Linked DNA regions of Lonchura striata. The protein of the gene in region 2 purifies or fractionates together with the protein of the main gene of each other region. This does not show direct contact. Links are inferred from orthologs where the notes say so. Each region holds a gene or a part of one and is shown on either strand. Other genes may lie near its edges. The genes, in order: RPA2, PRPF19, SNRPA and BCAS2.

Evidence for each region.
Region 1: the proteins of PRPF19 (region 2) and RPA2 purify together in Homo sapiens (affinity purification with western blotting; 4 studies listed by BioGRID, with this or other methods). This does not show direct contact. The link is inferred for Lonchura striata from reciprocal best matches to the Homo sapiens genes PRPF19 and RPA2.
Region 3: the proteins of PRPF19 (region 2) and SNRPA fractionate together in Homo sapiens (co-fractionation; 3 studies listed by BioGRID and IntAct, with this or other methods). This does not show direct contact. The link is inferred for Lonchura striata from reciprocal best matches to the Homo sapiens genes PRPF19 and SNRPA.
Region 4: the proteins of PRPF19 (region 2) and BCAS2 purify together in Homo sapiens (co-immunoprecipitation; 10 studies listed by BioGRID and IntAct, counting the BioPlex papers as one, with this or other methods). This does not show direct contact. The link is inferred for Lonchura striata from reciprocal best matches to the Homo sapiens genes PRPF19 and BCAS2.

Annotation. Positions count from the first base shown.
Region 1 is NC_134628.1:5,394,949-5,402,956, reverse strand, and holds the start of RPA2 (replication protein A 32 kDa subunit), read left to right. Parts: upstream 1-5,004; 5' UTR 5,005-5,048; coding exon 5,049-5,064; intron 5,065-5,226; coding exon 5,227-5,339; intron 5,340-5,412; coding exon 5,413-5,514; intron 5,515-5,638; coding exon 5,639-5,752; intron 5,753-6,196; coding exon 6,197-6,271; intron 6,272-6,999; coding exon 7,000-7,113; intron 7,114-7,397; coding exon 7,398-7,508; intron 7,509-7,593; coding exon 7,594-7,688; intron 7,689-8,008. Other genes in the region: SMPDL3B (acid sphingomyelinase-like phosphodiesterase 3b), read right to left, coding at 531-664, 1,228-1,408, 1,550-1,722, 2,271-2,414, 2,905-3,002, 4,359-4,651. UniProt on the Homo sapiens protein: As part of the heterotrimeric replication protein A complex (RPA/RP-A), binds and stabilizes single-stranded DNA intermediates that form during DNA replication or upon DNA stress.
Region 2 is NC_134608.1:53,754,051-53,761,443, forward strand, and holds the start of PRPF19 (pre-mRNA-processing factor 19), read left to right. Parts: upstream 1-4,388; 5' UTR 4,389-4,609; coding exon 4,610-4,628; intron 4,629-4,752; coding exon 4,753-4,902; intron 4,903-5,148; coding exon 5,149-5,225; intron 5,226-5,295; coding exon 5,296-5,437; intron 5,438-5,523; coding exon 5,524-5,597; intron 5,598-5,707; coding exon 5,708-5,770; intron 5,771-5,855; coding exon 5,856-5,897; intron 5,898-5,982; coding exon 5,983-6,057; intron 6,058-6,179; coding exon 6,180-6,255; intron 6,256-6,409; coding exon 6,410-6,519; intron 6,520-6,657; coding exon 6,658-6,813; intron 6,814-6,890; coding exon 6,891-6,960; intron 6,961-7,242; coding exon 7,243-7,328; intron 7,329-7,393. Other genes in the region: TMEM132A (transmembrane protein 132A), read right to left, coding at 1-288, 364-572, 1,407-1,461; voltage-gated monoatomic cation channel TMEM109, read right to left, coding at 2,582-2,952, 3,037-3,139, 3,246-3,475, 4,270-4,345. UniProt on the Homo sapiens protein: Ubiquitin-protein ligase which is a core component of several complexes mainly involved pre-mRNA splicing and DNA repair. Required for pre-mRNA splicing as component of the spliceosome.
Region 3 is NC_134637.1:4,272,442-4,280,300, forward strand, and holds the start of SNRPA (U1 small nuclear ribonucleoprotein A), read right to left. Parts: upstream 3,011-7,859; 5' UTR 2,921-3,010; exon of another isoform or gene 2,837-2,920; intron 1,887-2,836; 5' UTR 1,874-1,886; coding exon 1,801-1,873; intron 1,677-1,800; coding exon 1,504-1,676; intron 1-1,503. UniProt on the Homo sapiens protein: Component of the spliceosomal U1 snRNP, which is essential for recognition of the pre-mRNA 5' splice-site and the subsequent assembly of the spliceosome. U1 snRNP is the first snRNP to interact with pre-mRNA.
Region 4 is NC_134632.1:1,994,783-2,002,331, reverse strand, and holds the start of BCAS2 (pre-mRNA-splicing factor SPF27), read right to left. Parts: upstream 3,012-7,549; 5' UTR 2,966-3,011; coding exon 2,873-2,965; intron 2,789-2,872; coding exon 2,696-2,788; intron 2,430-2,695; coding exon 2,359-2,429; intron 1,745-2,358; coding exon 1,583-1,744; intron 917-1,582; coding exon 866-916; intron 338-865; coding exon 257-337; intron 1-256. UniProt on the Homo sapiens protein: Required for pre-mRNA splicing as component of the activated spliceosome. Component of the PRP19-CDC5L complex that forms an integral part of the spliceosome and is required for activating pre-mRNA splicing.

The DNA.
Region 1 (8,008 bases), on a different chromosome or scaffold from region 2:
CATGTAAACAGAGCAACTGTAGAGAGCTTCATCCACTACAAAGGAGGACATAACCACCCATCCTCCACCTCTTGGCAAACAGATGCTGTCCCTACAATTCATCCTCAATTTAGATCCACTCCAAATGCATCATTTTAGCAAGTAGAGGGACACAATTTTTCAGATGGTTTAAAGGTTTTGAAGGGGGTCTGACAAGTTTGTTATTACTCAAAGAGTAGTTCTGTGACCCATATTATCCGGGGAGCAAAGCAAGTGTCAAATTAAACTTACTAAGACATGAAGAACACCACAAAAACTGTCTGACCCTGCCTAGGGAAACTCATCCCAGCAGGATGCACTGGCTGCCAGGGCCATGCTTTGACTCACTGATACTCTGACTAAATCTTTGTGCCAGACACGAGGCTGAAATATCCTCTCCCACACAGCCACTCAGCTTCTGTGGACTGAGAAATCCTGAAAGGCCTCTTCTGACTACAGGGGGAATTAAAGTTGTTTCAGAGCTGCAGTGTGGTGCACACAGGATTCCCTACCAAGACCTGCAGGGTGTCCTGATCATAGCTGACCACCCGAATCGCAGGGTTGTTGGCTCCATTGCTCACTCCAGGTAATGTTGTTTTCCAGGGAGTCACTCCAGGGGCCAGGAACATGACATTGATTGGAGTACCTTCACAGAAATGCAAAGCCAACTGTGACTGGAGACCACGGCTTGTCCCACACCCTGTCCCCATCACAGTGAGCCCCTGGAGCAGATTGCACTGCCAACAGCACCTTTGTCACCAGCTCCCAGTACCACCACACACACAGAGATTAACACGTGGAACCATGCTGGGGACTGAGCACAGGGAATGGGCTCTCCAATGCTGGCAAAGCCTCTTGCAGTGAGGGTGGCCAGGGAACCACACTCGACAAAGATGTTCGCCCAGAGCACCCCACACACACACAGAGATTCAGCATTGCTCCCTCAGCAATGCCCAAACCCCTCAAGAGGGAGCAGGCAAGAAGCTGCCAAGCATTAAGGCAAAATAATATTTGAGGGTGAATAGGAAGGAGGGCAGGAGCTACAGACTGGGGGTAGAGATGAGAACCACTGTTGCCTCTTGTTGCCCAAAGCATGTCAGATGCTTTTGCTGGCTTCTTAGCCGCTTTTAGCCAACAGCCACTAAAAGCCCTGATGGACAGTGATTGTGAGAGCTGTCACACAGGTGCTCGGGTGACCAGAACAGGTACCTGTGGGGCTGTAGAACATGCGAAAGCTGTCGGTGTGATGGTGCCCAAAGAACTGGGCAGCAATCACATTGTGGTGCTTCTGCACAATGCCCAGGTACCGCTCGTTAAAGCCCCTCCTGAACCAGGGCTTGCCCCGTTTCTTCTCGAAGAAGCCAGGGGGGACATGTCCCACAATGTAGACCTACAGAAGCAAGAGCTGCCCTGAGCACAAAGCCCACACCACCCATGGAGCACCAGCCAGCTGCAGCTGCACCCAGAGGGAGCAGAGCAGGAAGAGCTTCCAGGCTGGGGAGAAGCTTTATTTTTTCAGTCTTTTTAATACCATTTCATCTGCTCTAGAGGCGTTGGTCAGTGTTTCTTCCAGCCACTGGAACTGCCCCCCAGGATCCTCCTCACCAGCTGTCTCATCATTCTGGTCATAGTACAGGTTGGTGTTGAGGACAACCATCCGTCCCCTCATCCCTGGGCCAGGCAGCTTCTCACTGTAGAAAGCTCCTTAAAAATGAAACCAACAGAGGAAGAGCTGTAGATCAGCTCACATGGGTGGCTGTGAGCCCAGATCCCATTGTTTCCACCTCTCTCTGTTCTTCTTAGCAACAGCCACAGCAGGGTCACTGCTTGGGACGGTGCCCTGACCACTCCAGGATGTGGATTTGGAGTGAGTCTTTCCTGTGTGTCTCCCCAAGTGAAGGGAGACCTGAATGGGTACAATGGACAGCACCAGGAGCTGGGCAGCTCTGGAGAGCCCCAGCACTGCCTGCACCAGCTGCCACCTTTAAAGATATTTTTCCTCCCTTTGCAGGTCACCACTGCATTCTTTCCAGTAACTTGATAATGGCAGAAGAGACTAAAGTATAAAATAATTTCTCTTCTTGCAAGCAGAGTTCCAAGACAGAAATCAGCATTAAATTGGAGCCTACCTCTGCAAATTTTCTATGAATACTGCTGCTCTGAGCATAGAAACAAGGAAAATCGTTCATGGTATTCTCCTACCCCTCCTCATATCCCCAGCATGCTCTAAACACAAGCCAGTGGTGCCAGACCTGCTCTGAAGAGAGGAAGAGAGGCATCACTCAGCCAGGACTGCCACAGCTCTGCTGTTTGTTTGTAGATCCTGTGCTCCTTCCCAGGAAACTGATTCTTGGGGTGGAAGTCATGATTGCCCATCGCTGCGTAGACCTTGGTACCTGGAGACAGAGCCAAGGAGGGGCAGGAGGTCAGTGGTGCAGAGCTCCTCCAAGCTCCCCGAGGCACTCCCAGCCTTGGGAACAGAGCTTTGCCAAGGCAGCCATCCTCTGCCCCGGGCTGACACTGCCCAGGGCACCACATGGCTCGGACCCGCCCCTGGGACAAGCCACCCAGAGCCAAGTGACTGAGCTGTCACCAGCAGTAATGCTCCTTGCCCCCTGCTGACACAGGTTATGTCTGAGAGTTTCCTGCAGCCTTTTTTGCCTTCATTACTAACAACAGAAACCCTTCCTTTCCCCTCTCCTGAGTAAGCTAACCTGAAACATGAGTGTGCATCAATGCTGTATGGCACAGCAGAATTGAGGCCACCAAACAAGTCCCACTGACCACAGCCCTTTCCCTGTCTCACTTCTGTCATTTCTCCATCCTGGTTAACCTTTCCCATGAGCTTCTATGCTCCTCTTCCCTTCTCATCTCCTCAAATCCTACCTGGAAATGTCTCTTTTATCAGAGAAGTCAGATTTGCTATTATGTGCAGAACCTTTTCTTCTCCGAGCTCCTCATTGGGGACATGGGGAGTGTCATCTCTAGAAAAAGAGAAGCAGCACAGTCACTGTCTGGGACTAACAGGGTCTGTGCTTACAGCAATGAGCAGGGCACAGAACTTGCCAACTCCTCTCTGTGCCTCCTAGAAGAGAAAGTTTAAGCTTTTAGGTGCAGAAGTCAGTGCTATATTGACTGGCCAAGACAATGAGGGAGTTTCAAGAAATTGCTCACAGGGAAAATGAGCTCCACTCTAAACTTGCCAGAGTCAAGGAGTGCTCAGACAACACTCTCAGGGATGCACAGGGTGGGATTGCTGGGGTGTCTGTGCAGGGCCAGAAGTTGGAATCCATGATTCCTGTGGGTCCCTTCCAGCTCAGGCTGTTCTGTGATTCCAGGATTCGCTTTACCTTAAAACTCCTGTGCAGAAGGGCGTGAAGGGGAGGCTCCCTTCTCCTAGGCAGCACTAAAGCTGACTGGAAACACTGCAAGGGTCAGCACTTTGCAATCTGAGGGCATTTGATCTGCAATAATGAGGCAGAGCTGTTTGCACAGCTGTGATCACCATGAAACAAGGAAATGCCTCTAGTAATGCAGCAATCTAGGGCTGCTCCATGTCTGTGTCTGTACAGCATTTGTAGATGATGCTGGACTGTCCACAAGCCCACTGGAGAGAAAGAACATTCAAAATCATGTCAGAGGGCTGGGGAAAATTGCTTGAGGGAAAAAGAATACTCAACATAAGGTCACAAGAACCAATAACTACATCTAAGTAAGAACAGGCATCTTCAGGGACAGAAAATGAAAACATGAGATAGGTGACAGCCCTGCAAACTGGAACTGGAGATTACAGCAAGTTGAGACTGCACTATCAGAAGAAGGCTATCTACACAGTCACTATGCAAAACAAAACTTTTACCATCTGCAAATGCTATTGGGGCCTCCCAGAGGACAGGGGACCCACCCCTGGAACCCATACTAGGAGAGAAACATCCTCCACTGGGGAGGTTCCTCTGACTCCTGAAGCAGAACTGTCCCTTCAGGTCTCCCAGCCGCCTCGCAACCAGAAGAAACGCTACAAGCTGGTTTACAGTACTCTCCTCCCGCAGCTGCTTCCCCTGGGCATTCCAGGTGCTACGACTCACTGTGGGATCGGACAGGATGCACAAAGGACGGACAGCGTTTTGTCACCTCACTGCCACGAGCGTCTCGCCAGCGTCGAGCGCCCTCGCTGGGGTTGTGCTTTCCTCCAAGCCCTTGTTTCGCATTACAAGGCACGCTCTCCCTTTCAAAGCGGGGACCGCGTAAAGAGCCCCGACACACCACGGGCTCCGTGCGGGCTCCGCCGCCCCTGTCCCGCCCAGCCCCGGGGTCCCTCAGGCGGGCCCGGCCCCTCTCACCCGGTCCAGACCACGAAGTCCGGCGCGGCCAGGCGGCGCCGCATGGCGCGGGCGGCCGAGCGGAGCAGCCTCCAGGGCGCATCGCACAGGTAGCTGCCCCACGGCCCGGCGGGCCCGGCCCGACCGCCGCCCGAGGGGCACGGCCGTCCCGCTGCCGCCGCCGCCTCGTACCCGGGGTCCCAGTGCAGGTCCGTGAGGTGCCAGAACCTCCCGGAGCCGCCGACCGCACCGGGCAGAGCCACGGCCAGTAGGTACGGCAAGGGCAGCAACAGGAGCTCGCGCGTGGGCTGCATGGCAGAGACCGCCGCGGGCACCGGGGTCGGCCGGCACCACAATCCCGCCCTCACCAAAATCCCGCCTTCACCGGGACCCGGCCGGCACCACAATCCCGCCCTCACCGGGACCCGGCCGGCAGTACAATCCCGCCCTCACAGGGCCCCGGCCGGCACCACAATCCCGCCCTCACAGGGCCCCGCCCCCTCATCCGTGCCAGGCCGGGCAGCGCCCGTTCTCAAAATGGCGGCGGCGGCGGCGGCTTCCCCGCGCTCTCCTCCTATTGGACAGAGCCGGAAGGCGGAGGGATGCGATTGGCTGCCGGCCGGCAGAGCGGCGCTCCCGGATTGGGGGGCAGGCGGCGGCGCGCGGGGCCCGGCGCGCGGGCGGGCGGCGGCGGCGGTCCGGAGCGCAGCCATGTGGAGCGGGCACGGTGCGGGGCCGGGCACGGTGCGGGGCCGGGCGGGGCGCGGGGCCGGGCGACCCTCCAGGGGACACCCCCTCCGAGGGCCCCGCTTCCCGTGATGGCGGCAGCGCTGGGAAAGGGGACCGTGTCCCCGCCGCCGCGTCACGTTCCCTCTTTCTCCCCCCGTAGGGAACTTCGATGGCGGCTACGGCAGCATGGGCGGCGCGGGGCTCCCGGGCGGCTACACGCAGTCCCCGGGCGGGTTCGGGTCGCCCGCCGGAGGCCAGGCGGAGAAGAAGCAGGTAGGCCGGGCGGGGCCGGCGGGACGGGGCCCGGGGCCGGGACCGGCTCTGACGGCCCCTCCGCCGCTCGCAGCGGAGCCGCTCGCAGAACATCGTGCCCTGCACCGTGTCGCAGCTGCTGGCGGCCGAGCAGGTCGACGAGACCTTCCGGATCTGCGACGTGGAGATCTCGCAGGTGGGTGCCGGGGCGGTGGCGGCCGCCAGCAGCCGTGGCCGGCCGAGTGACCGACCCTTCCCTCCCCCGCCGCAGGTCACTCGTGGCCGGCCCGAGTGACCGACCCTTCCTTCCCCCGCCGCAGGTCACCGTGGTGGGCATCGTCCGGCACGCGGAGAAGGCGCCCACCAACATCCTCTACAAAGTGGACGACATGACGGCAGCCCCGATGGACGTCCGGCAGTGGGTTGATACTGATGTAAGCTTTGGATTTGCTAGGAACAGGCTTCTTGAGCAGCTCTGGGGAGCAGTGGGTGGACAAAAGCTGTAGAATTATACAGTATCTCGGATCATTGATGAACACCAACTCCCTACTTCTCACAGAGCTTTTTGAACCCAAAAGGTGTGGCTTTTCTGGAAAGTATTTTAGGGATAACGTGTCCCTGAAATCAAAGGGAGGTCCTGCTGCAGCAGAGATCACTGGCGGTGTATATGACTGTGCCTGTTTAGTATAGCTGAGTTCACTTGAACAGTTTTGGGAGGGTAACCAGGCAGATGTTCAGTCTTACTGCAAGTTTAGCATGACATAGGAATGCACGTTGTTTGTGCTTGCTTGAGATGAGCCTTCCTTGCTAAGTTGCTTCTTGTGACTGTTGAGAAATGGAAACAGGAAACAGCAAACCTGTTTTTCCCTGTCTGTTAGGAGGCAGGAGGTGAGAATGTTGTGGTACCTCCAGGAACTTACGTTAAAGTGGCTGGTCACCTTCGGTCCTTCCAGGTAAGAGTGTATGTGTACCTGTGTGTGAATCTTGTAGCACTCCATGTGGCACAAATATTCAAATAACGGTGTATGTGCATTTAGGGAAGGTGCAGATAATTCCCAGCTGCTTAGAAAGAGGAGTCACTGTCTCCATTGTCTTTCAAAATCACATCTCTCCCCCACTGCTTTCTTGCTTACTCCCAGTAGGATGGGGGGAATCAGAAGGGTCAAAGTAAAAAAACCCATGAGTTCAGATAAAAGCAGTTTAATAAGTAAAACAAGGAATTCATTCCATGCTTCCCATGGGCAGGCAGGTGTGCATCTTCCTCCTTCTTTCACCAGTTTTTTAACTGAGCATGACACTGGCTGGTCTCTCCCGTGGGGCAGTGGAGGTACCAGCTGTTTCCCTCACAGCTCCTTGTCCCCTCCCAGCCTAATACTGGTAGAGTTGTGTGAGAAGCAGGAAAGCCCTTGGCTCTTTGCAAGGGTTGGTGAGTAATGACTAAAACATCCCTGTGTCACCAACAATGTTTCCAGCACAAGTCCAACACCAGCCCATGTTACTAGCCCAAACCAGCACAAGAGGTGTGTCAGAACATTTTGGATGACCTACATACAGAGAAGGTCTTTCCCCACTGCTGTCCCACCCTCCTGGAGGAAATGGCTGGGTTGGCTGTTAGGCATTGTCATGTTGCTGTGCTGTAAATTGTTTTCTTTGTTTTGTGTTTGTTTTTTTCCTCTGAAAGAATAAGAAGAGCTTGGTAGCATTTAAGATCATGCCTCTGGAAAATATGAATGAGTTCACCACACACATACTGGAAATTGTCAATGCACATATGATCCTCAGAAAAAATCTTATGGTACGTACAAAGACCCTGATTTTATTGTGGCCCTTCCTGGGTGACTGGTGATCTCCCAAAGAGGGACCTTTCACTGGGAAAATTCCTTCATTTTGGGGCTGGAAAGCTTAAAGCTGAGCAACGCTGAAGGTGTAACAGGAGTCCTGGCTTCCTTGGAGAGAGATTGCAATCCACTTCCATAAGAAGCTATTTTTACTTACTGGCTTAGAAATAACAGTGAGTCTTTAACACTGCAGGCTTGGGCAGCCTGGGTAACCACAGCACTTTTGTTCTCCTAATTCCAGTCAGCATCAAGAGGGCCACAGTCATTTTCCTCCACTGGGATAAGTGACATGGGGGGCTACGGAGGAGGTGGCAGCCTGCCAGTGAACGGGCTCACGGCGCACCAGAGCCAGGTGGGTGCCAGCAGCTCTTCTGGGAGCACAGCAGTGGCAGCAGAGGCTGCTCCAGTGTGATCTAGTGTGGTTCTTGCTCATCCAGGTGCTGAACTTGATCAAAAGCTGCCATGTCCCAGAGGGAATGAGTCTACAGGACTTGAAGTTCCAGCTCCACAGTATGAGTATGTCAACAATCAAGTAAGTGTGTAGAAATGAAGGATGCTATGGAAATCCAGGCAGTCCTTCCAGAGGCAGAGAACAGTGGACAAGTCCAGACACTCACCTGTGAGTCAGGGTGGGTAATTCAGGTGGTCCCAGCAGCACAGGAGCCAGAGCTGTTGAAAGATTCACTGCCCTGAATGAGCTGTTGCCAGTTGCTTTGCTCCTTGTTTTCAAAACAAGCCTTTTATCAGTTCAGTGGCAACGTACTGCAGTGCCTCAGTAGCATTTCTCCTGTTCAAAGACTACCTTGTTCTCTGCACACTGATAAAAATCTAGGAATAGTCTCTCCTATTCTA
Region 2 (7,393 bases):
GTCCTGGTCCCTGGGGTGGTCACGATCCCCAGTGTGATCCTGGTTCCTGGGGTGATCCTGGACCCCAGGGTGGTCTCGGACTTCAGGGTGATCCCAGACGCCGGGATGGTCCCAGTCCTTGGGATCATTCAGAGTCCCGGCATGATCCTGCTTCCCAGCCATCCAGTCGGGCCCGTGCAGATGGAAGAGGACACGTGCCACTGGCTCAGCAGGGGACACAGAGCTCTCCAGGGACACGGCGCGGATGGCCCAAGCTGCTGAGCCGGGGGGGCTCTCCATGGACACCTCCTGTAAGGACACCGGGATGGTGGTGGGGGCCGGGACACCCTGGGGTGGCCCAGGGAACACAGGAGTCCTGGTTACCTGGCGGATGCTGAACGGGGCATAGGTGGCCTGGACCAGGGCCTGGGATCCAGCACGAAGCAGCAGGAATGTCTCGGAGCGGGTGTGCAGGGAAGAGTTGGGTGCCACGTCCTGATCCACCCTCTGCAGCCGGTAGGACTCGGGCACTCCAAGGACCTCCAGCTCCGCCGGCAGGAACACGGGATCCGGGGGCTCCCCGTCACCCCTCACTGCAGGGACAAGGACGTGTCACATCCCGCAGGGACACAGTGGGAATGGGAATGCACAAGAGTGGCAGGTGGGGGTCTTTGTGCCCACCTTTGCAGCAGCACACAGGGTCACCCCTTGCCTGGGCCACCTCATTCTGAGGTCACCCCTGCCATGGTTATCCCAGGGTTATCCCATCCCTGCATCAGGACTGGGGGGGCCACTCGGTTCCCCCAGTCCTGGCTGTTCCCTGTGGGAATGCACTCCCCACTGGGAAGAGCGTTGGCACCGTGTCCTGCAGGGTGGGATCCAGGTTCATGGTGTCCTCATGGTGCCCAGATCAAAGGGATCCCTCATTACAGGGAGCAGATCCCACCTGGATGCCCATGCAGGGCTTCCTCACGGCTGGGATTTGATCCCACCTAGGGGATCAGGTGTGCGGGGAGAAGCCAGGCAGATCCCGGGATGCGGGGGGGAGTCCCTCGGGCGGCGGGTTCCCGTGGGGACTGGGAGGAGAATCCCCCCTCGAGATCCCAGCGGATCCCACGTTGCCTGGGTGACCCCCTCGGGATCCCAGGCGGGGGAGGGGGCACGGATCCCCGCAGAATGGGGGACGTGGATCCCGGGGAACGCGGAGAAGGAGGGGGTGAGGTTGCCCCGGCTCCCGGGATCCTGGCGGAACGGAGGGACCTCGAACGTGGGGAAAGGAGAGAATCGACCCGGGCTGCGGAACCACGCGGGAGCGAATCCCGGCAGGACGGCGGGAGGGGTGCGGAGCGGGTCGGGGTCGGTGCCCGGTGCCGTTCCCGATGCCAGCTGCCGTTCCCGATGCCGTTCTCGGTGCCGTTCCCACTTACCCGGGGCGCAGAGCAGGGCGGCGGCCAGCAGCGCCAGCCGGGGCGCCGAGGCCATGGCCGGAGGGCTCGGTCCCTCCGCCGGTGCCGGCGGTACCGGTGCCGCCGGTGCCTCCTGTCGCTCCGCCGGTGCCTCCCGTCCCTCCGCCCCCGCGCCGAGACAATGGGGCCGGGGCGGGACCGGCACCGGCGCCGCCTTGTCCCGCCGGGTCCTAAAGCCCGGCCGTGCCCGGGGCTCTGGCTCCTGCTCCACAGCCCGAACCACATCCCATCCTACGCCCTATTCCCATCCCTGCTCCCCCTCCTGCTCCCCATTCCCATCCCTGCTCCCCATTCTGACCCTCATCCCACTCCCTATCCCCATCTCTGCTCCTCTTCCTCATCCCCATGCCAATCCCTGCTCCTCATCCCATTCCCAGCCCCACCCAGCACCGGACACCCCAAGCCACAGGGAGACCCATGGAGCAGAGCAGGAGGGTTGGGAATTCTTCCCTCAGCTGCCATCCATCTTCCCCTCTTCCACCAGGGATACCGGGGACATGGGAAGGATAAGGACATCCATGGCAAGGGGCACAGAGCCAGCGGGAAGCACAGCAGGAGCAGCTGGAGGGCAGTGGGATCCTGGCATGGACAAACCACCCTCCTCTTCCTCCTCCTCCTCTTGCTCTTCCTCCTCCTCCCTTCCCACCCCAAATGGACTGGGGGGCCAGCTCTGAGGCCTGACCCCCTTCCCATGGGAAAGCAGCGGGGCCAGGCCGGATAAATCCCTCTTTATTCCAAACCACATTATCAAAACCGTTTAAAAAGCAGCTTGAAAACCCAAAACCTGACAGTGGGGGGACCCCAAAACAAGCAGAACCCCCGGGATGGGGAATGGGATCCCCTCTGCACCCCAAGCCGGCTGGGACAACATCCCTGGCGAGCAGGGAATGTGGGAGCTCCTCTCCCACATTTGGGGTGCGTGGCTGGCTGGCTTTTGGGGTGAAGGCACTTGTGGCACATGTGGCAAGGCACAGCCCCTGATTTTTGGGCCCCTCCCAGATGGATGGGGCGCTCCCAGGACCCTGGGAGAACCGGAAAGCAGAGGAGGGGGTGCGGGGGGCTCAGTGGAGCGGGGGGACACACGCTTGGGATGCTTAGGATGACGGAGCCAAGCTCTGAGCAAGCTTTAGGGGGCCTCAATCCTCCCGGTTCCGGGGCCCCCCGAACTTCTGGCGCCGCCGCAGCTCCTCCACCTTCCACTCCAGGCTCTTGACGGCCGCATCCAGCCGGGTGCTGGGATCCGGGGCTGCCACCAGGCTGCCCAGGAAGGTGTAGAGCACCCACAGGCCCACCAGCATTCCCGCCTGCACCGTGGGGCTCTCCTGGGAAGCGGCCACATGCAGGAAGGCGCCGAGGAAAAAGAAAAGCTTCAGCCCCCGGAGCAGTGGGAGCAGCAGCCCTCGAAGCCGGGCTAGCATCCAGGATCCCACCAGAGCGACCATTGCCCACAGCAGCACCCTCTGGACTTCTCCGGGAGATAGCGCTGCCGCTCGGACCAGCCGGTGGCCTGGGAATGGGAGCTGGGAGTCAGCTATGGCGGTGGCACCAGGAATGGGGGCCAGAGCCATCCCACGGGGTGAGTCCCACTCACCATTGATGCTGGAAGTGGCCAGGAGATCCCCCAGGATCCCACAGAGTGTGGTCAGGGCTGCTGAGATCCCAGAGGAAAGGATCCAGAGGGCGGTGGAGAGGCTCTGTGGGGAAAGATGGTGGGATAAGGAAGCAGGAAAAGAAAATGTAGACCCCCCCCATGTCCCTGCACGAGGAACTCCAGGGAAGGGTTGGGAATCAGGATCCCACCTCCGCCACCATCTGCAGGGGCTGGCGTCCCACCCAGCTCTCCAGGGTGTCCCAAGTGGATCTTCCCAGCCGGAGCAGCAGGTCATCGGAGGTGGTGACGTGTCCCCGGAATCCCTCCTGGCCATCCTTGGCTCCATCCCCCACTGATCCCATGAGGAATGGGATCCACAGCAGCAGGGCCAGCAGGGCCCGGTGCCCCACGGCACTCCCCATCCTGGAACCCGGGATCTGTGGGGAAAGAGAGATGTGGGGGTGCTGGGAGGGGAAAACCCTGCTGGTTTTGGAGTCCACTTGCTGGTTTTGGGGTTCCCCAGGCAGGAGGGGAGGCTGGAGGCCCCAGAGCCCAGTTCCATGCCCCCCCCCAGCACAGGCCTGGCTGTCCCGGCTATTTTTGGGATTGACAAGTCAGCGGGACACAGCCAAGGGCGCCGGGCCTGGCTGGGAAGGGGGGGCAGTCCTTCCCAAAGGAGGGAGCGGGGTGCTCCGGGATGGGACACCGCCACCATTGCCACTCCTGAGACCCCCCCGTGCTCCCCACTTCTCCCCAATCCCCCCGGGATCCCCCCAGTCCCAGTGTGCCCAGCCCCGCCCAGTTCCCCCATTCCCCTGGAACCCCCGATCGCCCCTGTGCCCGCCCCCCCTCAGGGCCCTCCACCCTTCGCGATCCCCAAAATCCCCCCAATCCTCCCTGGATCTCCCCAGCGCCCACTGGCTCCCCAAATCCCTCTGTGCGCACCCCACCCACATCTCCGCGGTCTCTGGGATCCCTCTGATCCCCCCAGGATCCCCCCAGGCCCCTCTGTACCCACCTCCCACTGTCCCCCCCCACCTCTCAGGATTCCCCCGGGATCCCCCCAGGAACCCCCACCGCGGCTCCCTCATCCCGCCTATCCCCTCCTGGAGCCCCCCCCCGCCCATTTCCCCTCCATTTCCCCCCCACTTTCCCCGAATTTCCCCCGATTTTCCCCGAATTCCAGCCCCCACCCCGGGGTCCCCCCCGACCCCCCCTCACCGGGGCTTCCCTCGGCTCGGCCGCGGGGCACGCCGGGAGCTGTAGTCCCCGGGGCCGCCGCGGGGCGTGCCGGGAACGCCGTCACCATGGCAACAGCCGCAGGCGGGCGGCGGCGCGCGGTGCACGCCGGGAAGCGCCGTTCCCGCCGGCGGGGAAGGGGGGAGCGCGGGGGATGCCTGGAGCGCTTCCGGTTCCGGCGGCGGCGCCCGCGTGAGCGCTCGGGAGCGGCGCGGGGGCCGCGCGCGCCAACCGGAACCGGAACCGGGACCCCGGACCGGAAAGGAGAACCGGAAACAGCCTCGGAAGGGCAGCGGGGCCGTAACCGGAGCGCCGCGACCGCCCGGCCTCCGCCATGGCGCTCATCTGCTCCAGTGAGTGCGGCGGGGCGAGAGTTACCGAATGGGGGATCCCAGCCGGGGTCACCGGGGGATCACCGGGCTGGGAGTTCCCAAGCCCCCGTTCCCGTCCCATCCCGCCGTTCCCTTTCGCCCTCAGTTTCCAACGAGGTCCCGGAGCACCCGTGTGTGTCGCCGGTGTCCAACCACGTGTACGAGCGGCGGCTGATCGAGAAGTACATCGCGGAGAACGGCACCGACCCCGTCAACAACCAGCCGCTGTCCGAGGAACAGCTCATCGACATCAAAGGTGCCGGGATTGGGAACGGGAGTGGGAAAAGCTCTCCCGGGAAGAGCGGCTCTCCCGGGGGCGGGAATGGCGGCGCCCGAGGCGCTTTGGGGTTTGCTGAGCTGGGGCTGAGATGCCAAACTCGGCTGTGGAGGCTGGGAAGGAGAGGGTAAAGGAGGGATGGTGGAACGGGAAAGGTGAGGGATGGGAACGCGGTGATCCGTAGGGATATCGGGGACGCGGGTGACGTGTCCATCTTTCTTCCAGTCGCCCACCCGATCCGGCCCAAGCCCCCCTCGGCCACCAGCATCCCGGCCATCCTGAAAGCCCTGCAGGACGAGTGGGTGAGTGCCGGGGGGGCTGCCGGGGCCGGGGTCCCGCCGCTCCCTGGCTGACTCGGGTGCTCCCCGGCAGGACGCCGTGATGCTGCACAGCTTCACGCTGCGCCAGCAGCTGCAGACCACGCGCCAGGAGCTGTCCCACGCCCTGTACCAGCACGATGCTGCCTGCAGGGTCATCGCCCGCCTCACCAAGGAGGTCACTGCCGCCAGAGAAGGTGACACAGACGCGTGGCGTTCCTGGGAAGGGGTGCTGGGAAGTGCTGTATCCCGGTTTTCCTTTAAAGCTGTTGTGTTTTTGCAGCTCTGGCCACACTGAAGCCTCAGGCCGGGCTCATCGTGCCCCAGGCGGTGCCGTCAGCGCAGCCCAACGTGGCCGTGAGTTCCTGCTCCCCATCCTGGTCCTTTTCCCTTTCATTCCCAACCCTTTTCCCACTCACTGCTCCCGCATTCCCTCTCTGCACGTCTCTTCCCTCTGTGCCACACAGGGCGCTGGCGAGGCCATGGATCTGGGAGAGCTGGCGGGAATGACGCCGGAGATCATCCAGAAGGTAGGGACAGCCTTCCGCGTGTTGCCCTCTCCACCTTCCCATCGCAGAATTCCCGGTCTGTGCCCACCCTCCTCTTGTTTTCCAGCTCCAAGACAAGGCCACGGTGCTGACCACGGAGCGTAAGAAGGTGAGTGGACTTACCCAAGGATTTGGAGGGAGCTGGGATGTGCCGTGCTCCAGCCAAGGCTGATGTTTATCCCTGTATTTTCCAGAGGGGCAAGACGGTCCCGGAGGAGCTGGTGAAGCCGGAGGAGCTCAGCAAGTACCGGCAGGTGGCCTCACACGTGGTGAGTGCCGGGATGGGAAAGGACTGGGAAACTCCTACGTGGAGCTGGGAATCCCTTTTTGATTCCTCGTGGGATGTTTTGCTGCTCGTGGCATTAATTTGGAGTTCTCCTCTCTCACATAGGGGCTGCACAGTGCCAGCATCCCAGGAATTCTTGCCTTGGATCTGTGTCCTTCCGACACCAACAAGATCCTCACTGGTAAGGGAGCTTTCCTGGGGGTTTCCCACTTGAGAGTGGGTCTCCTTCTCTGTGTTTTTGGGAGTTTGAAGGGGCACAAGGGACATAAGGCAGGTGGATTTGGAGTTGCTTGGCCCTGCACTCCCATCCCAGCGCTTCCCGCTCGGTTTTCCAGGTGGAGCCGACAAAAACGTCATCGTGTTCGACAAGAGCTCGGAGCAGATCCTGGCCACGCTCAAGGGCCACACCAAGAAAGTCACCAGCGTCGTCTTCCACCCATCCCAGGTGCGTCTGGCTCTTTCCTCACTTCCAGGATTCCTCAGATCTGGGTATCAGGACCCTCCTCTGGTGGAATCTCCTGCTGGGAGCTCTCGCAGAGGTGAATTCTTCCCGTGTGAACCTTCTGGTGTTCTCCTTGTGTAGGACTTGGTGTTCTCGGCTTCTCCCGACGCCACGATCCGGATCTGGTCCGTTCCCAACGCCTCCTGTGTCCAGGTGGTCCGTGCCCACGAGGGCTCCGTGACCGGGCTCAGCCTCCACGCCACGGGTGATTACCTGCTCAGCTCCTCGGATGACCAGGTGAATCCCTCCCCATCCCACACATCCCACCTTTGCTTCCCGCCCCTCCTGTATCCAACGCTCTTCCTCTCTCCCAGTACTGGGCTTTCTCGGATATCCAGACAGGCCGTGTCCTCACCAAGGTGACAGATGAGAGCTCTGGATGTGGTAAGCTTTGGAATTGATTATCCCCATTCCAGGCATCCCTTGGCTCCTGGAGTTCATGAGAGCTCCTTTGGGGGTGGGCATGGTAGCCTTCCCAACCTTCCTGAGTCTTCCCAACCCTTCCAATCTCATCAACCTTCTTGAGTGTTACTAGCTCACAAAATATTCCCAACTCCCTGTATCTTCCCAACCCTCCTGAGCCTTCCAAATCTTCCCAACACTATTGGGAGTCTTCCCAGCTCTCTGAGTCTTCCTAAGCATCTGATTCTCCTGCTGTCTCCGCAGCTCTCACCTGTGCCCAGTTCCACCCGGACGGGCTCATTTTTGGGACGGGAACGATGGATTCCCAAATCAAGATCTGGGATCTGAAGGTAAGGGCTGAATGGGAATGTGCGGGAACAGGGGTTTGGGGTTGTCTGAGCTTGGCTTGGGGATC
Region 3 (7,859 bases), on a different chromosome or scaffold from region 2:
AAGGGATTTTGAAGAGAGTTCTAAGGGATATGGAGGAGTTCCAAGAGGGACTTTGGCATTTTCCAAGGGATTTGGGGAAGTTCAAAGAGGGATTTTGTGATTTTCAAGGAACTTTGCGAAGTCCTAGGAAGAATTTTGCATATTTCAGAGGGATAGGGGGAGAATTTAGAGGGGATTCTGGGGAGTTCCAAGAGGGATTTTGGGGCTTTCCAAGGAATTTTCAAGGGTTCTGAGGGATTTGGGAAAGGTTCCAGAAAGGCTTTGGGGATTTTCTGATGGTGTTTGGGGGAGCTCCAAGAGGAATTTGGAGGCATTTCAGGAAGTCCTAGCAAGGATCTAGGAATTTCTAAGAGATTTTGAGGGAATTCAAAGAAATTTAGGGGGGATTTGGGAGTTTCTGAGGGATTTGAGGGAATTCAAGAGAGATTTTGGAGTAGCTCCAAGAGGGATTTGGGGGTTTCCAATGGATTTTTAGGGCTTCCAGGTTGAATTTGAGATTTCACCAGAGGTTCGTCATAGAAGGGAAAGCTTTGGGAATTCCTGGCTGGATTTTAGGGCTTTTCCTGGAATTCTGGGGTTTTTCCTGGGATTTTCTTCTTTGGGGCAGCTCGTGGTTTGATTTTGGTGCATTTCTGGTTGGATTTGGTTTGGTTTTGGGTTTTTTTGGTTTGTTTGTTTGGTTGGTTGGTTTTGTTTGTCTGTTTTTTGTGGGATTTTGGGGATATCTGAGGCTGGATTTTTTTTTTTTTTTTTTTCCACAGAAATTCAGGTTTTTTCCACAAAGTTTGAGGATTTTTCCCATAATTTGAGTATTTTTCACCAGAATTTCTCTCTCATCATAAACTTGTCATGAAACAAGAAGTTCCAGGGGTGTTCCTGGTTGGATTTTGGGGATATCTGAAGCTGAATTTTGGTGTTTTTTTCCCCCAAGAATTCAGGATTTTCCACAAAATGTCAGGATTTTCCCTTGAATTTGGGTCTCACCATGGGCTTCTCATAGAAGAGGAAGCTTTGGGGTGTTCAGGGTGAATTTGGACAATTACAGGTTGGATTCTGGGGATATTTGAGGCCAGATTTTTGCCTTTTTTCCCCAGAATTTCAGAGTTTTTTTCCAGAATTCCAGTTTTTCCTCAAAATGTCAGATTTTTTTCCCCAGGTTTCTGCCCCACTGTAGGCTTGTTATAGACAGGAAGCTTTGATTCTTAGTTTGATTTGAGAGTGTTCCCAGGGGATTTTCTGTAAATTTCCAGTTGGATTTGGGGTTTTTTTTCCAAGGAATTCAGTTTTTTTCCAGAATTCCAGGATTTTTTCCCATATTCCCTGTGTTTTCCCCTAGGATTTCTGTTTCACCATGGATGTGTCATAGACGGGGAAGCTTTGGGGTGGTCAGGGTGAATTTGGAGAGATTACAAATTGGATTTTGGGGATATTTGAGGCCAGATTATGGTGGTTTTTCCAGTCTTTTCCCAAAATTTCAGAATTTTTCCCCAATCTCTGTCTCACCATAGGTTTGTCGTAGAAGGGGAAGCCCTGCATGGAGCGCAGGGCATTGGTGGCGCTGCTCATCTCCTTGAAGATGACGAAGGCCTGGCCCCTCATGCGGAGACTGCGCGACACCAAAATGTCCAAAATCTGCCCAAACTGGGAAAAAATGGCGTAGAGGGACTTCTTCAGCTCTGGGGACAGAGAGAGAGTATAGTGACAATGGGGACAGCATGGTGACAGCAGGGACACCCAGAGGACAGCCTGAGCCCCTGGGGACACCCAGGGACACTCTCAGACCCCCCAGCCCCCCCCCACCGTCCTTCTTGATCTTCTCGTTCAGGTTGTTGATGTAGATGGTGTGGTTGGGCCGGGGATCCTGCACCGCCATGGCTGGGACCTCTCTGTGGGGACAGGGGGGCTTCAGGGGGCGTCTGGGGGCTGCGACCCCTTCACCCCCTGGGACCTCCCTTTTGGTACCCCAAACACCCAAATCCACCCCAGACCCACCTATACCTCCACCTAATCACCCTCAGACCCCCTCCCAAATTGACCCAGACCCACCTGGGACTCCACAAAACCTCCTCAGAGCCACCTAAGACCCCCGCCAAATTGCCCCTAGACCCACCTCAGAACCCCCCATATCCCCCAATTCCCCTCAGACACCCCTAAAACCATCTCAGAACCCTCCAGACCCTCTCAAGCTCCTCCCCAAGCCCCCTCAGACTCCCTCATTCCCCCCAAAGTGACCTCAGATCCCCCTATTTCCTCTCAAAATCCCCCATTTCTCCTCAGACACATCTCAGACCTCCCCAACCAACTTCAGATCCCCCCATTTCCCCCCCGACCCACCTCAGAGCCCCCTTCGCCCTCATTTCCCCCCAAATCCACTTCAGACCCCGCAAAAACTACTCAAACCACTCCAATTCCCCCCAAATCCGCCCCAGACCCACGTCGGACCACTCAATTCCGCTCATATCCACTTCAGAAGCCCCCATTTCCACTCAAATCCCTCTCAGACTCCGCAAAAACCCCTCAAACCCGCTCAATGCTCTCCGAAACTGCCTCGGACTCAATTCCTCTCATACCCACCTCAAACGCCGTCAGTTCCGCTCAAACCCCCCTCAAATCTCCCCAATTCCCTTCCCGTTCGCCCTAGATCCACCTCACACCCCACAAAAGTCCCTCAAACCACCGCAATTCCTCCCAAACCCATTCCCGACACAGCTCAGACACCCCCATTTTTCCTCCAGTTTCCCGCCGGACCAACCTGAGATCCCCCTAATTATCCCCTCAGACCGCGCAAAAAACCCTCAAAGCCGCCCAATATCCCCCAAATGCGTCCCGCACGTACCTCAGAACCCTCACTTCCCCTCAGACCCGCCTCAGCCCCTTCCCATTTCCCTCTAAAGCCACCTCCGACCCCTCCATTCCTCACAGGCCCCCAACTGGCCTCCCTCCTCAGCCGCTCTCCCCGCACGATCTACCGCCGCCGCGTGCGCGGGCCCCCCTCCAGCCAATAGCGGCGTGACCTGCCCCGAACTAACCAATCACCGTGCGGGTTCCCTCAGTTACGCCCGCCTCCCCCGCGCCGCTGCAGCCAATCAGAGGCGAGACGGAAATGGCGTCCCCTGACCCCAGGGCCGGGCATGAGCCCGGTGGCCCCGGGCGCCCCGGGCTCGGGCGGGTCCTGCGGGAGGCGCTGGGAGAGGCCGGAGCTGCGGGAGCTGCGGAGGGGCCGGGACAGGTGGGGGAATGGGGGATGAGGGTCCTAAGAGGGGACCGTGGGGGAGGGGTCTTGGGAAGCGTCTGGGGAGTCTCAGGGGACATCCTGGGCTGGGCCCGATTGGGATCTGGGAGTTCTCAAGGGGGTGCTGGGGGGATCTGGAGCTCCTGGCGGGGTTTTGGGGGTCCAGGGTGATCCTGGGCCAACCTTGAGGGGGGCTCGGGGGGGGTTGGGGTTCCTGGGGAAGATTTGGGGTCCCGGGGAGTCCCAGGCCCAGGCTGAACCGGGGTCTGGGGGTTTCAGGGGGAGGGGGCACAACAGGGGTTCCCCCCGCCCCGTTTTTGGGGGTCTCCCATCATGCTGTCTCCCCAAAAAGTGGTTCCTGAAGCATCCCCCTGAAGTGGCTCCTGTTCCACCAGCCGGTGCCCCCTCATCCAGGACGGCCCCCAGTGAGTCTGGGGGAATTTTGGGGAGAAGTTTGAGAGGGATTTTGGGGAGGCTTTTTTTTGGCTTTTAGGGATTTTGTTGAGAGTTTAGGGGGAATTATTAGGTTTTTGAAGAGAGTTATTGGCTTTTGGGGTGTTACAAGATTTTGGGGGGTTTTGGATTTTGGGGGATTTTATTGGAGTTTTGGCGGGTTTTTGGGGGGGTTTACTGAAATTTTTTGAGTTTTTTTAAATTTTGGTGGGTTTCACTGGGATTCTTTGGAATTTTGGAGGGTTTTATTGGGATTTTTAGGGAATTTTGGGGGTTTTTTAGTGGAATTTTGGGGGGCTTTGGGGTTGTCCCTGGGTGTGGGAAAGGGCTGACAAGCACCAAAATCTCCTTAAAACCCCCAAAAGTCCCAATAAAACCCACAAAATCCCAATTAAATCTCACAAAATCCCATTAGAATACCTTAGAATTTCAAAAAAAGCCCACAAAAATCTATTGAAGTCCCAAAAACCCCTCAATAATTAAACCACACAAATCCGCCCAAAAATGTCTCCAAAACCACAAAAAGTCCCACAAAATCCCCCCATGACCCAAAGAAATTCTGGTACAGGACACCCAAAAACCCCAAAAAAAACCTCCCCAAAATCCCAAGCCCTCAAAGAATCCCACTAAATGCCCCCCAGATTCCAACCAAATTACTCCAAAACCCCTAAAACTCCAAATAAAACTACCAGAAATTCCAGGGAATTGAACAAAATTGCCAAAATTTTTCAAAAAGCCAAAAAATTTCAAGAAACCCTCAAACACCTCCAGAAAAACAACCGTCCCAAAGCACCAATAAAACCCCCCAAAATCTACAAAATCCCCCAAAATTCTGCAACTCCCCCAAAACCCTATCATTTTCGTCAAAAAATGCAATGATTCCCCCTAAACTCCCACCAAATTTCCCCAAAGCCCAGAAAAGCCCAAAGTCCCCAAAGCCCTGATCCCTTCCAGTCTCAGCCCAGTCCCATCCAGGGGCACGGCCAAATGCAGAGGTCCCTGAGCAATCCCGGAGCCGATCCCAGAGCGTGCCCAGTTCCAATCCTGGTGCCAGTCCCAGAGGGATCTCGGAGCTGATACCAGTGTCATCCTCAGTCTTGGCCCATTTGGGAGATTTTAGGCCAATCTGGGCAGATTTAGGGTGGGTTTCAGATCCCTTGCAGTGATTCCAAGCCTTTTAGCTTGGATTTTAGGCCCCTTTGGCTGATTTTAGGCTGAATCTGGTGAGTTTTATGGGGGATTTTAGATCCCTTTGGCTGATTTTAGGCCCATATGGGTGAATCTTAATCCTGTTTGGTTGGTTTTACGTCCCTTGTTTTGGTGATTTTGGGCCCATTTGGGTAGATTTCTGGCTTCTTTGGTTAATTTTAGATCGAACCAAGCATTTTAGGGTGACTTTAGGTCCTCTTGTATTGGTTTCAGGCATGTTTGGATGATTTTAGTAAAAACTAGGTGGATTTTAGGGTGGATTTAGGCACATTTGGGTCATTTTAGGCAGAACCAGGTACTTGCAGTTGAAAAACACCAATCACTTGTTTTTTTGAATCTTATAAAAAATAGTAATAAGATTGGAGTAATAAAAATTTGGACTAGAGTAATTAGTGTAATAAAAATAGGATTAGGACACTATGAGACAATAAAAAGCAAAGAATTGCGGACATCTGCATGCTCTCGGACACTAGGTCACGAAAAGCATGCCTTGCGAACAAAGGAATAACCTTAAAAGCAATAGCCTGTTGCATATTCATATATCTCATACATGATACATAAATTCCTTGCAAATTAAGAATTTTTCTGGTTTTTGTCAACTTCTTCCCCTTAATCCTGGTGGTTCCATAGGGATGGAGCGGAGGTGGAAGAATGTCTTTTCTGATAAGGAAGCCGTAACTCTTTAGGTTTTGTGAGCCGTAACTCCTTAGGTTTTGAGGCCATACAAGTGTTCAGAGTGTGGGAAGGGGTTTCAGATCAGATCACATCTCCTCCTGCACCATCGGTTTCACACAGAGGAGAGGCTCTTTTGCTGTCCAGACTGTGGGAAGGGATCCATGTACAATTTCACCCTCATTAACCACCAGTGGATTCACACAGAGGAGAGGCCCTTCTGCTTCCCCGACTGTGGGAAGGGATTCAAGCACAACTCCACCCTTACCACGCACCAGTGTGCCCATACTGGGGAGAAGCCCTATCAGAGTCCACAATGTGAGAAGAGCTTCTCATAGAACTCAACTTTGACCCAGCACCAACGGAGCCATCGGTGAGGGAGGCTCTGTGAGTGCCCTGACTGAGAGAAGAGCTTTGTGTGCTGCTCCAACTCCATCCCCCATTGAAGGACCCTTGTTGGGAAGAGATCTGGTGACCCACATTCCCTTGTGATCCATATTGGGAAGGCACCTAGCTGGTTGTTCTTTTGTTTTGACCTTCATTTTCTTCTGACTCAACTCCATCAGCCAAAACAGGCCTGAAAAGAAAGAAATTGATCAATGATGTCTGAAGTCCCACCATTTCACAGTTGTTTGAGAGGGAATTTAGGATTTAGAGACATATTCTGGAGGATTTGGGGTTCTGGGAGGGTTTTGGGCAGTGTTCTTCATCTCTTTGCACTGCAGAAACCAAGAGAGATCAGTCTTCACCTCAAAACAACTCAATCCCACTGAAAACAACTGAATTCTAATCCATAAGGGCTCAATCCCCCCTCAAAATGGCTTGTTCCCACCTCAAAAAACTCAGTCCCACTCCAAACTCGATTCCACAACTGCCAGAGTGAGATGGGGTTGGAAGGAGACTGGGAGAAGTGGGATCCAAATTTGGAGCAGTGGATCTGGATTGTGTGGGGCTGAGTGGGTGGGATGTATTTGATAGTAAATAAAACTTTCAGAGTTAGTGATTTCTTTCCCATTCATTTTCAGTCTGTTGCAGTTCTGTTTGCAGAGTGCCACCTTCCCAGCTGATTATGTTTGTGTCCTCCTTTCTCTCCCACCTCTCTTTGCCTGCTCTGTTTCTCTCTCTGTTGGAATCTGAGTTATTGATGATTCTGAGATAGTAGAAAGTCTCTGTCTCTCAGCCCTGCTGCCAAAGAAGAAGCCATAATTGGTCTGTGCTGGTTTCAAGGTTGTTTATTCTGTTTATCTCTAACATGTTCTGCTGCCCTGCCCAGCTCTGTCCTGCAGGGCAGCGTGTGGGGCTCTGCCCTCAGTGGGATGTTACAAACATTAAATACCAGAAACTCCCTGGGCTGGATTTACAATAACATGCCAAAATCTGTCACCTACATTGGACAGTGTGACCCCAGCCTAAACCAACAGAAAAATGCCAACACCACAGTGAAACATGGAGGACATGGAGAAGGAGAAAAAGGACAAGGCACACCCAATTTCCTCCATCTTGTCCCCTTTGAACCCCTAATTTAGAATCCTAAAATTTTACTTTTGCACTCATGCCACACTTAATTATTACTTATATCAAACACTCAGAGCTTGTAATTCATCCTTTAAGATTGAAAACTCTTTTCCATGGACAGAGATCAGAGACAGTGTCTCTTGGGGCTCTGTACAGGGGGTTCCTGACCCCCTGCCAGGGTCCCAGGCCTTCCAGAGCAGCCGGAGGGAAGCCCTGGATTCCCACATCTCTCCGTGTCTCCCTTGAGCCAGGGCAGCTGCCACCAAAAACCCTGCCCTGATTTAATTCCCAGTGTAGGAGCTGCAACAACTATGGGGGAAGTTAGGAAGGCTTTCTGCGAAATGTCACTGTAGGATCTTGCTGCACTTGGCTTTTGGCCCCTTAAAATCTTTGCCTTCAAGGGCAGGAACATCTTTTCCTGGCTGGGAACTGGAATTCCAGACCCTTGGAGTGTGTGCCATGCGGGCCCATGCAGACTGGGATCCTACGGATTGGGATCCTACAGACTGGGAGTGCACAGACTGGGACCATATGGATCAGGACCATACAGACTGGGATTATGTGGTCTGGGACCTTGTAGACTGGGATTGTATGAACTGGGATTGTACAGTCTGGGATCATGTGGACTGGGATTATAGACTGGGATCATATGAAATGGGATGGCTGCACCAGAACAGTGCAGAATTGAGGCAGTCACAGGAATCCCTCCACTCAGGAATCCCTCCCAGTCCCGCACGGGGGCATAGCCAAAACTCTCCAGAGCAAACATGGAGATCCT
Region 4 (7,549 bases), on a different chromosome or scaffold from region 2:
AAGAACAGTTTAAGACAATTTAGGAAATTTGAAGCAGCTAATAAATACACTCTTTTCCTACCTGTTGATTCACTCAATTTCAGTAAATATAATATGGAACCAAACTACAAATACCTTAAAACACTTCCTGCAAAGCAACAGTATCCTACAGCAGCACCAAAGGATCACTGAATTTCAAGTGGAAGAAGAATTTCAAGTAAATTTCAAGCAATGGAGAAAGCTGTGGAAGGGTTAACCGAGAAATATCAACACTCACGTGGATTCCATCTCTCTCAGCTTAGCCCCAGCTGTGAGCTGCATGTTCTTCCTCTGCCAGTTCAGGTCTTGAATGTTTTTCCTGGGGAGAAAAGGATGCATTTTTATTTCCTCATTTCTTTGGCATCTGCAGTACCTGTTGCTAATTTCCAAGTACACTCAATCCCTAGAAGTACTGCCAGAAAATATTTGTGTAGCCAGGACTGTAATGACAACATCCAGATGGACAAATCTCAGTACAGGGCTCACAAAGAGCCCTGAGATAAATAAAAGTAAAAGGCCAAACCCAACATCAGGGAAGATGTCCTTACAGAGACAATTGCACACTAAATTATCAGTAGTGAAATTAAAGCATTGCTACATTTCAGGGAGGGTTCCACAAATCCAGAGCAGAGATTTAAACAAATCAAACACAGAATTTTGAGTAGAACAGACATGATGAATGGGACTGGGGAGGGAAGGGTCACATTTCTTCATCATTGTTTTTACTGGGTCTTTTTCCCTGTGACCATGGCAGCAGCCAGCATACACATCTTCCTTTGTACAGCTTGGGGGGAGAGAAAGGTTCACTTCCAATTTCAGTACAAAAATATAAATAAGAATGACCCACCTCAATTTCTGAAGCTCTTTCTGGGCTTGTTCTATCATATGAACCAGGTGCCTGATGACAGAATGCAAGCAAAGCATTAAAAACACACAACTGCTAAAATTTCAGCCCCATTTCATCTGACATTTAACTTCTCAGAGTTCAGGATTCAACAAGCCCCTGCAGCACCTTGTTCCAGCCAGCAGATCCTTTACCTGCTTCCCTTCTCCTGAGCTCAGGAACCCTCTGCCTTCTCCCTGAGCTACGTTTGGCATTCCTTTGACCTACTCTTCTATCTAAGGCTCAGCCAACCCTTCTCAAAAGTGGACATTAACATTCTCTCTCTGAATTAACCCCAGTACTTCCTGCAGCCATACTCTACAACCTCTTCTTAGCTTTTGCAGCAGCTTTATTATGGCTCCAGGCTAAGCCCAGGATCTGTAGTAACTCATCTCCATTTCCACTAGTGAGTTATTTCTTCACAGGCTATCACTAGCCTTAATTAACACCCACCAGCATCAACAATAACCCACAACATTCAAGAGTGGGATGTATTAAACACATTCTGTTTCTTGGCCACAGAGACAGCTTTGAGATCAGCCTCCTCTTTCACTCACAGCTCTCTCACAGGATTTCATCTATTCCAGGCTACATTTTAGAGATCCCCACCGGATTTACACCCAATAAACAAACAGAAATCAACACAGAACTTGGTGCTCAGCAGAGCAGCTGAGGCCTTACTCGTTGTACACCTTCCAGGCATTGCAGCCGTGCTGGGACATGAGCTCCAGGTTCTCGATGCGCACGGCCTGGTGCTCCAGCTGTGCCATGGAGTTGTTCACACACTCCTGCCACGCCGTGATGTCGTTCTTCTGCCCAGAGGAGGGGGCGGGCAGCTCGTACCTGCAAAGGGAACGGGGCACCGGGCACGGCTCACCTGGGACACCGGGCATGGATTACCTGGGCCATGGCTCACCTGGGGCACCGGGCATGGCTCACCTGGGACACGGCTCACCTGGGACACGGCTCACCTGGGGCACCGGGCACAGCTCACCTGGGACACGGCTCACCTGGGGCACCGGGCACGGATTATCCAGGACACGGCTCACATGGAGCACAGTTCACCTGGGACACCAGGCATGGCTCACCCGGGGCACTGGGCACGGCTCACCTGGGACACGGCTCGCCTGGGGCACCAGGCATGGATTACCCAGGGCACAGCTCACATGGGGCATGGCTCACATGGAGCACAGCTCACCTGGGGCACCGGGCATGGATCAAATGGGACACGGCTCAACTGGGGCACAGCTCAACTGGGGCACGGCTCACTCAGGGCACTGAGCACGGTTCACCCGAGACACCGGGCACAGCTCAAATGAAGCACAGCTCATCCAGAACATCGGGCATGGCTCACTTGGGACACTAGACTCAGCTCATCCGAAGTATTGAACACGGCTCACCCGGGACACCGGGCACGGCTCACCCGGGACAGGCACTGCCCTGCCGGCCCCACTCACCTCTTCATACTGAGCAGCTCCAGGGGCTGCCGGGCCGCCAGGCGCTCGAACTCGTTCCGCATGATCTCGGTCTGCGGGGAAGGCAGCAGTGAGGGACAGGGGCGGAACAGTGCATGAGACAAGCGGGCACGATGGAGACAGGACACAAACGGATAACGGCGGAGGGACAGCCGGGGCAGGGGCGGAGAGACACAGGAGGGGTACGGGCACACGAGAGGGGTACGGGGCAAGGACGGGGACAGGCAGGGTCTGTCCCAGCCAGGTCACGGAGTGGGGCCAGGCGGGGTATGGGGGCACCGGGCCGGGCTCTGGGAGCTGCCAGGCCGCCTCAGCTCACCTCGAAGGCGCTGTAGTCGTGCGCGGGCAGGTAGCTCAGGTAGTTCTTGGTCGGGCGGTACCGCCGCGTCTCCTCCTCCACCAGCGCCGCGGCCTATCGCACACGGGGCGTCAGGCAGGCGGACAGCCCGCCCGCCGCCCCGGCCCCTCCCCGCCGCCGCCGCGGCCCCGCACGCACCGCCTCCCGCACGCCCGGCGCCTCATAGCCCTGATCGAAGTAGGGCAGCGCATCCACCACGACATCCCCGGCCACCAGCCCCGGGCCCGACATCTTGGCCGCGGCCGCGCGCACTGCGCGTGCGCAAACACGTCACGCCCGGCGGGGCGGTGCGCTGCTCGGGCACAAGCCCCGCCCCCCGAGAACAAACCCCGCCCCCCGAGGCCAAGCCCCGCCCCCCGAGAACAAGCCCCGCCCCTCCGAGGCCAAGCCCCGCCCCTTCGCGGCCCCGCCGCTCCCGGTTTGACTCCAGCTCCGGCCCCGCCGCTCCCGGAGCGATTCCAGGCCTTGCCCCGCCCCTCCCGGAGCGATCCCGACGTGGCCCCGCCCCTCCCTGCCCGGTCCCGCCGCTCCCGGAGCGACTCCAGCCCTGGCCACGCCCTCCCCGCCAGGCCACGCCCCCTTAAGGAACGGAGACACGTGAACGGTTGGATCGATGAGCTGTTATTGATCCACGGAACTGGTTATCGGTCCGTGGAACTGGTTATTGATCCGTGGAACCGGTTGTTGATCCATGAGCTGCTATCGGTCCAGGAACTGGTTATCGGTCCATGGAACTGGTTATCAATCCAGGAGAGCAGCTATCAATCCATGGAAGTGGTTATCGGTCCATGAACTGGTTATTGGTCCATGAGCTGGTTATCGGTCCATGGAACTCGTTATCGATCCATGTACCCGCCGCACACCCGGAGCCCCCGGCCCGGCCCTCCCGGGGCACAGCTCGGTCCGGCCCCGGCGGGGTCCGCGTTCCCCCTCCCGCCGCTGTCCCGCAGCAGCGCCCGGTCACTTTTTCTGGAGGAATTTCATTTTACTGCCTGCAGAGAAAAAACAGCATTAGGAGCTTTAGGCGAGGGTGGTGAGGCTCGGGCACAGGTGCCCAGAGCAGCCGTGGCTGCTGGTGGATCCCTGGAAGTGTCCAAGGCCAGGCTGGACAGGGCTTGGAGCACCCTGGGACAGTGCAAGGTGTTCCAGCCATGGCAGGACTGGTCCCACCCAAATCATTGTGGGATTCTGTGAAATGGAGACACTCCAGGACTCATCAGGCAGAGGAACTTAAGGTGGAAAGCCACACATGACCACCTCTGCCAGCAGACAAAACTTCTGTCCCCTGGGCATGTCCCCAGCCAGGACCAAAGTTAAGGAACAAGCATGCAGAGCAGCAACTTCCACAAATTTCATCTAAAGATACAATATTTTAAAAAGAAAAGAAAAATCTTACACAGTGTTCAGTGTCCCCTGAAGGAGTAAATGTAAACAAGGGAACCCAGATACAGAAGGAGAAGCCTTTCTCTCTTTTGTAACAAGTGAATTATTCAATAGCTACAATTAATTTAAAAAATAAGCAATGAGCAAAAGCAAGGGGTGTTCCTTTACCAAGGCTGCGAAGGATTTTGTTCATTCCAGTTCGTTCTGTCTCTGGAATACTCTCCAAATACTCCAAGGCACGGACCTCAAAAAGGCCTAAAGAGAAGAAAAAATTAAAAATCACTCACCAAATCAGTTATTCCACCATTTAGCACGTGGCATCATGATTAACAAGGCCACAAAAGGAAATCCTGCATACAGTGTGTGTAAGCTGCAGGATCAAGGAGAAAGGACAGAGATGCAGAAATTCTTTGCTTTATAAACTGAATTCTTTTGAGTAATTTAGAAGGGCATGGGGCTATTCCATGTGACAGAATTCCAGCAGCAGAGGCAGGTGGCATTGTACTTCGAGAGGAGTCTGTGGAGCAGACTTGAAACAAGAAAGTGATGCCAAAACAAGAAACAAGAGGGCAATGCCACTGATGCCTCAGGTTTTGGCTTTTATATTTTTCAGATTCTGTGCTGCTTTAGTGTGTGGGTCTGGGGTCCATATTAGGGGATGGTGAGCTCTCTGCACAGAGCAGGGAGACAAAACAATTCACTATCTGGGGACCAAGGACAAATGATCCAAATCTCAGGCCCAAAAGCACAAACAACGTGGGATGAAGAGAGAAAAACAAGAAGGATGGGACTTCATGGGCTGGAGCTGTAATTGGACAATTAGCTCCAATATGCAAATTGAGCAGAACTTATAAAATTGAGAGACCTCGTGACCAGTTGTCCATTTTTTATGACCATTTTGGTTCATCTTGGGTGCAGCCCTGGCTGGGCTCTTGTGCTGCCAAGGTGGATCCATTGAGGAGATCCTTTTAATAAATCCCTACTTTATTCTTTAGCTCTGTCTTGTGGGTCTCAGATTCAAAGAGAGAAACAGAAAGTTTCTAACCAGGCAGAAGGCTGGGAATCTGCTGGAAAATAATGTAAATAAGAGGTTTATCTCCTTATTGTTCACATTGTTTATAGTTAAGTTCTATCACTGTTCGTCAAGCACTCTGCACCAATGGTGTGGTTGTTCTCACTTCGGGACCAATGGAATTGTCTGTATAAAGAGCGGTGCATTCTGAATAAACCAGAGTTTTACTCTCACAGCCTTCTCCATCAGTCTATTCATTCCCATCCTGCCTCGACAGCGTCACTGCCCAGCTCTTTCCCAGGGCATCACCTTTGGCCAGGCTCTTGCTGAGCTCGCGGTCCTGGATGAAGCCGGCGAACATCTGCGTCTCCATGAAGCAGTGCAGGAAGTGGCGCACGGTGCGCGAGCCGTGCGACTTGCGGAAGGGCTCGCGCTGGAACACGCGCTGGCCCTGCTCCGTCACGTTCATGTGCAGGGAGTAGTGCCCCACGATCTCCACGAAGAACTGCACAAAAGCCTCCGAGACCAGGGAGTTCAGGGTCGTGGCACCTGTGGGGAGGACATTTGTCACTTTGGTCATTCCTCTCCTGAGGATGTGTGTCATAGATTGCGAGGCAAGATGCATTCAGTTGTTGTCTGTTAGAGGTGAGGCAGTTGTCTTCTGTTAATTGGGCAGTTTTCTTTATCTCTTCCACAACCAGTCCTTTCTCAGGGGAGTCATCTGCTGATAACGAGCTACTGAATGTCACACCACGACTGATAAAAGTTACAGCATCCCATTATGAGATGCTCCACCCGGAGGGAGCATTTCTACCTGGATATAATCTTGAGTTTCTGGAACACCATTATGGCTTTTCCTGCACTGGATTACCCAGAGAAACAGCTGCCTCTTCAGAGGAAAACTAAACCTTTTTCTACAGGAACTGCACCCTTTTCTTCAGGAACTACATCTTTTTCTACAGGAACTACACCCTTCTGTGGAACTACACCCTTTCATACAGGAACACTGCTCCAACAGAACCACACCTGCCACTCCAGGAGGACTGCAGCCATAATTCCCAATTGGACTGCAGCCAACACCCTGACCAACAGGGTGTCAGGTTGTGTTCTGACTCTGCCAGTGTTGTTTTGGTTCACTGCATTGTTTATTTTGTCTTTTTATTTTCTTCCTTAATAAAAGAACTGTTATTCCTGCTCCCATATCTTTGCCTGAGAGCCCCTTTAATTTCAAATTGATAACAATTCAGAGAGAGGGGGTTTACATGTTTTTGTTTTTTTTTTTTTTCATTTCAGGGGGTGCTCCTGCCTTTCTGAGCAAACACCTGTCTTTCCAAACCAAGACAAGGTGACAATCTGGTCAGAGAGAGAGAAAGCTAGATTGTAGGTTTTCTGCTTCCTTTTTCTACCTCTATTTGGGTCAGGATTGAAGGCACTTCAGATGGTATTTCATGTTCAGACTCAGGTGTTTATAATTTCCTATCAATGTTCCAGTCTCACAGCAGTGAGTTCTGCAGTCTTTCATTAACCAGGCACAAAATGGCCAACTATCTCTCGTTACAAGGTCTTTTGAGGCTAAACTATCCAATTAAGAAATGACAGCTAAATTATTTTCTTTTTTAACCCAATAACTGATCCCTTGAAGCCTGCACTGTGGACTACTCTGTCCAATTACAAACCACCACCCAAACCCATGGAGAAGAAGGAAGAAGAAGGTGAAAAACAACCTGCCTCAGCTCTAAAACCTCCATCTTGATTCATATTTATTTCTATATTCTAAAACCCCAAACTCTAAGTTTTCCACCCTGTGACATTCCACACTTCCAACAAACTCCACACCCATAATCCCAGTGCTGCTAATTAATTTTGGAAGCCTTCCCCACAGCCTCAGGTCAATGCAGTGCTCTCTTGCAGGTCTGTGCCTTTCAGCACAGAAAATTTAAAATTCTCAGCATCCAGGGTTCCAACACTAGATAAGCTTTCCCATGAATTGGTCTGAGGGAGCTGGAGAGAAAGAATTAAAACAATCCATAGGTGGTGTTTTGTAATGAGTTGTTTTCCTCATAAGATGTTTACCAAAAGGGTGGGTTCTTAATTAGCCAATGGTGATGTGTTTTAATTAAAGGACCAATCAGGTCCACCTGTAGAGAAACAGAGTATAAAAAGGAATGGGTTTTTAATAAAGTGGTTATTAGCCTTCTGACCTAGAGTCTGTGTCACTTATTACCCGTTCCTGACTCAACAGGGACACTCTCCAAAAGCTGATAGGCCAAGAAACATTTATAATGTATTGTAATTAGGAAATAGTTAATTTCTGATTGTGAGGGTGTGAATTATAACACTGCATTATCTCACCCTTCACATGAGACTGAGAATGGAATAAAAGTTTTTAAAACACCTCTCAGTTGCCCCATCTCTGGGTC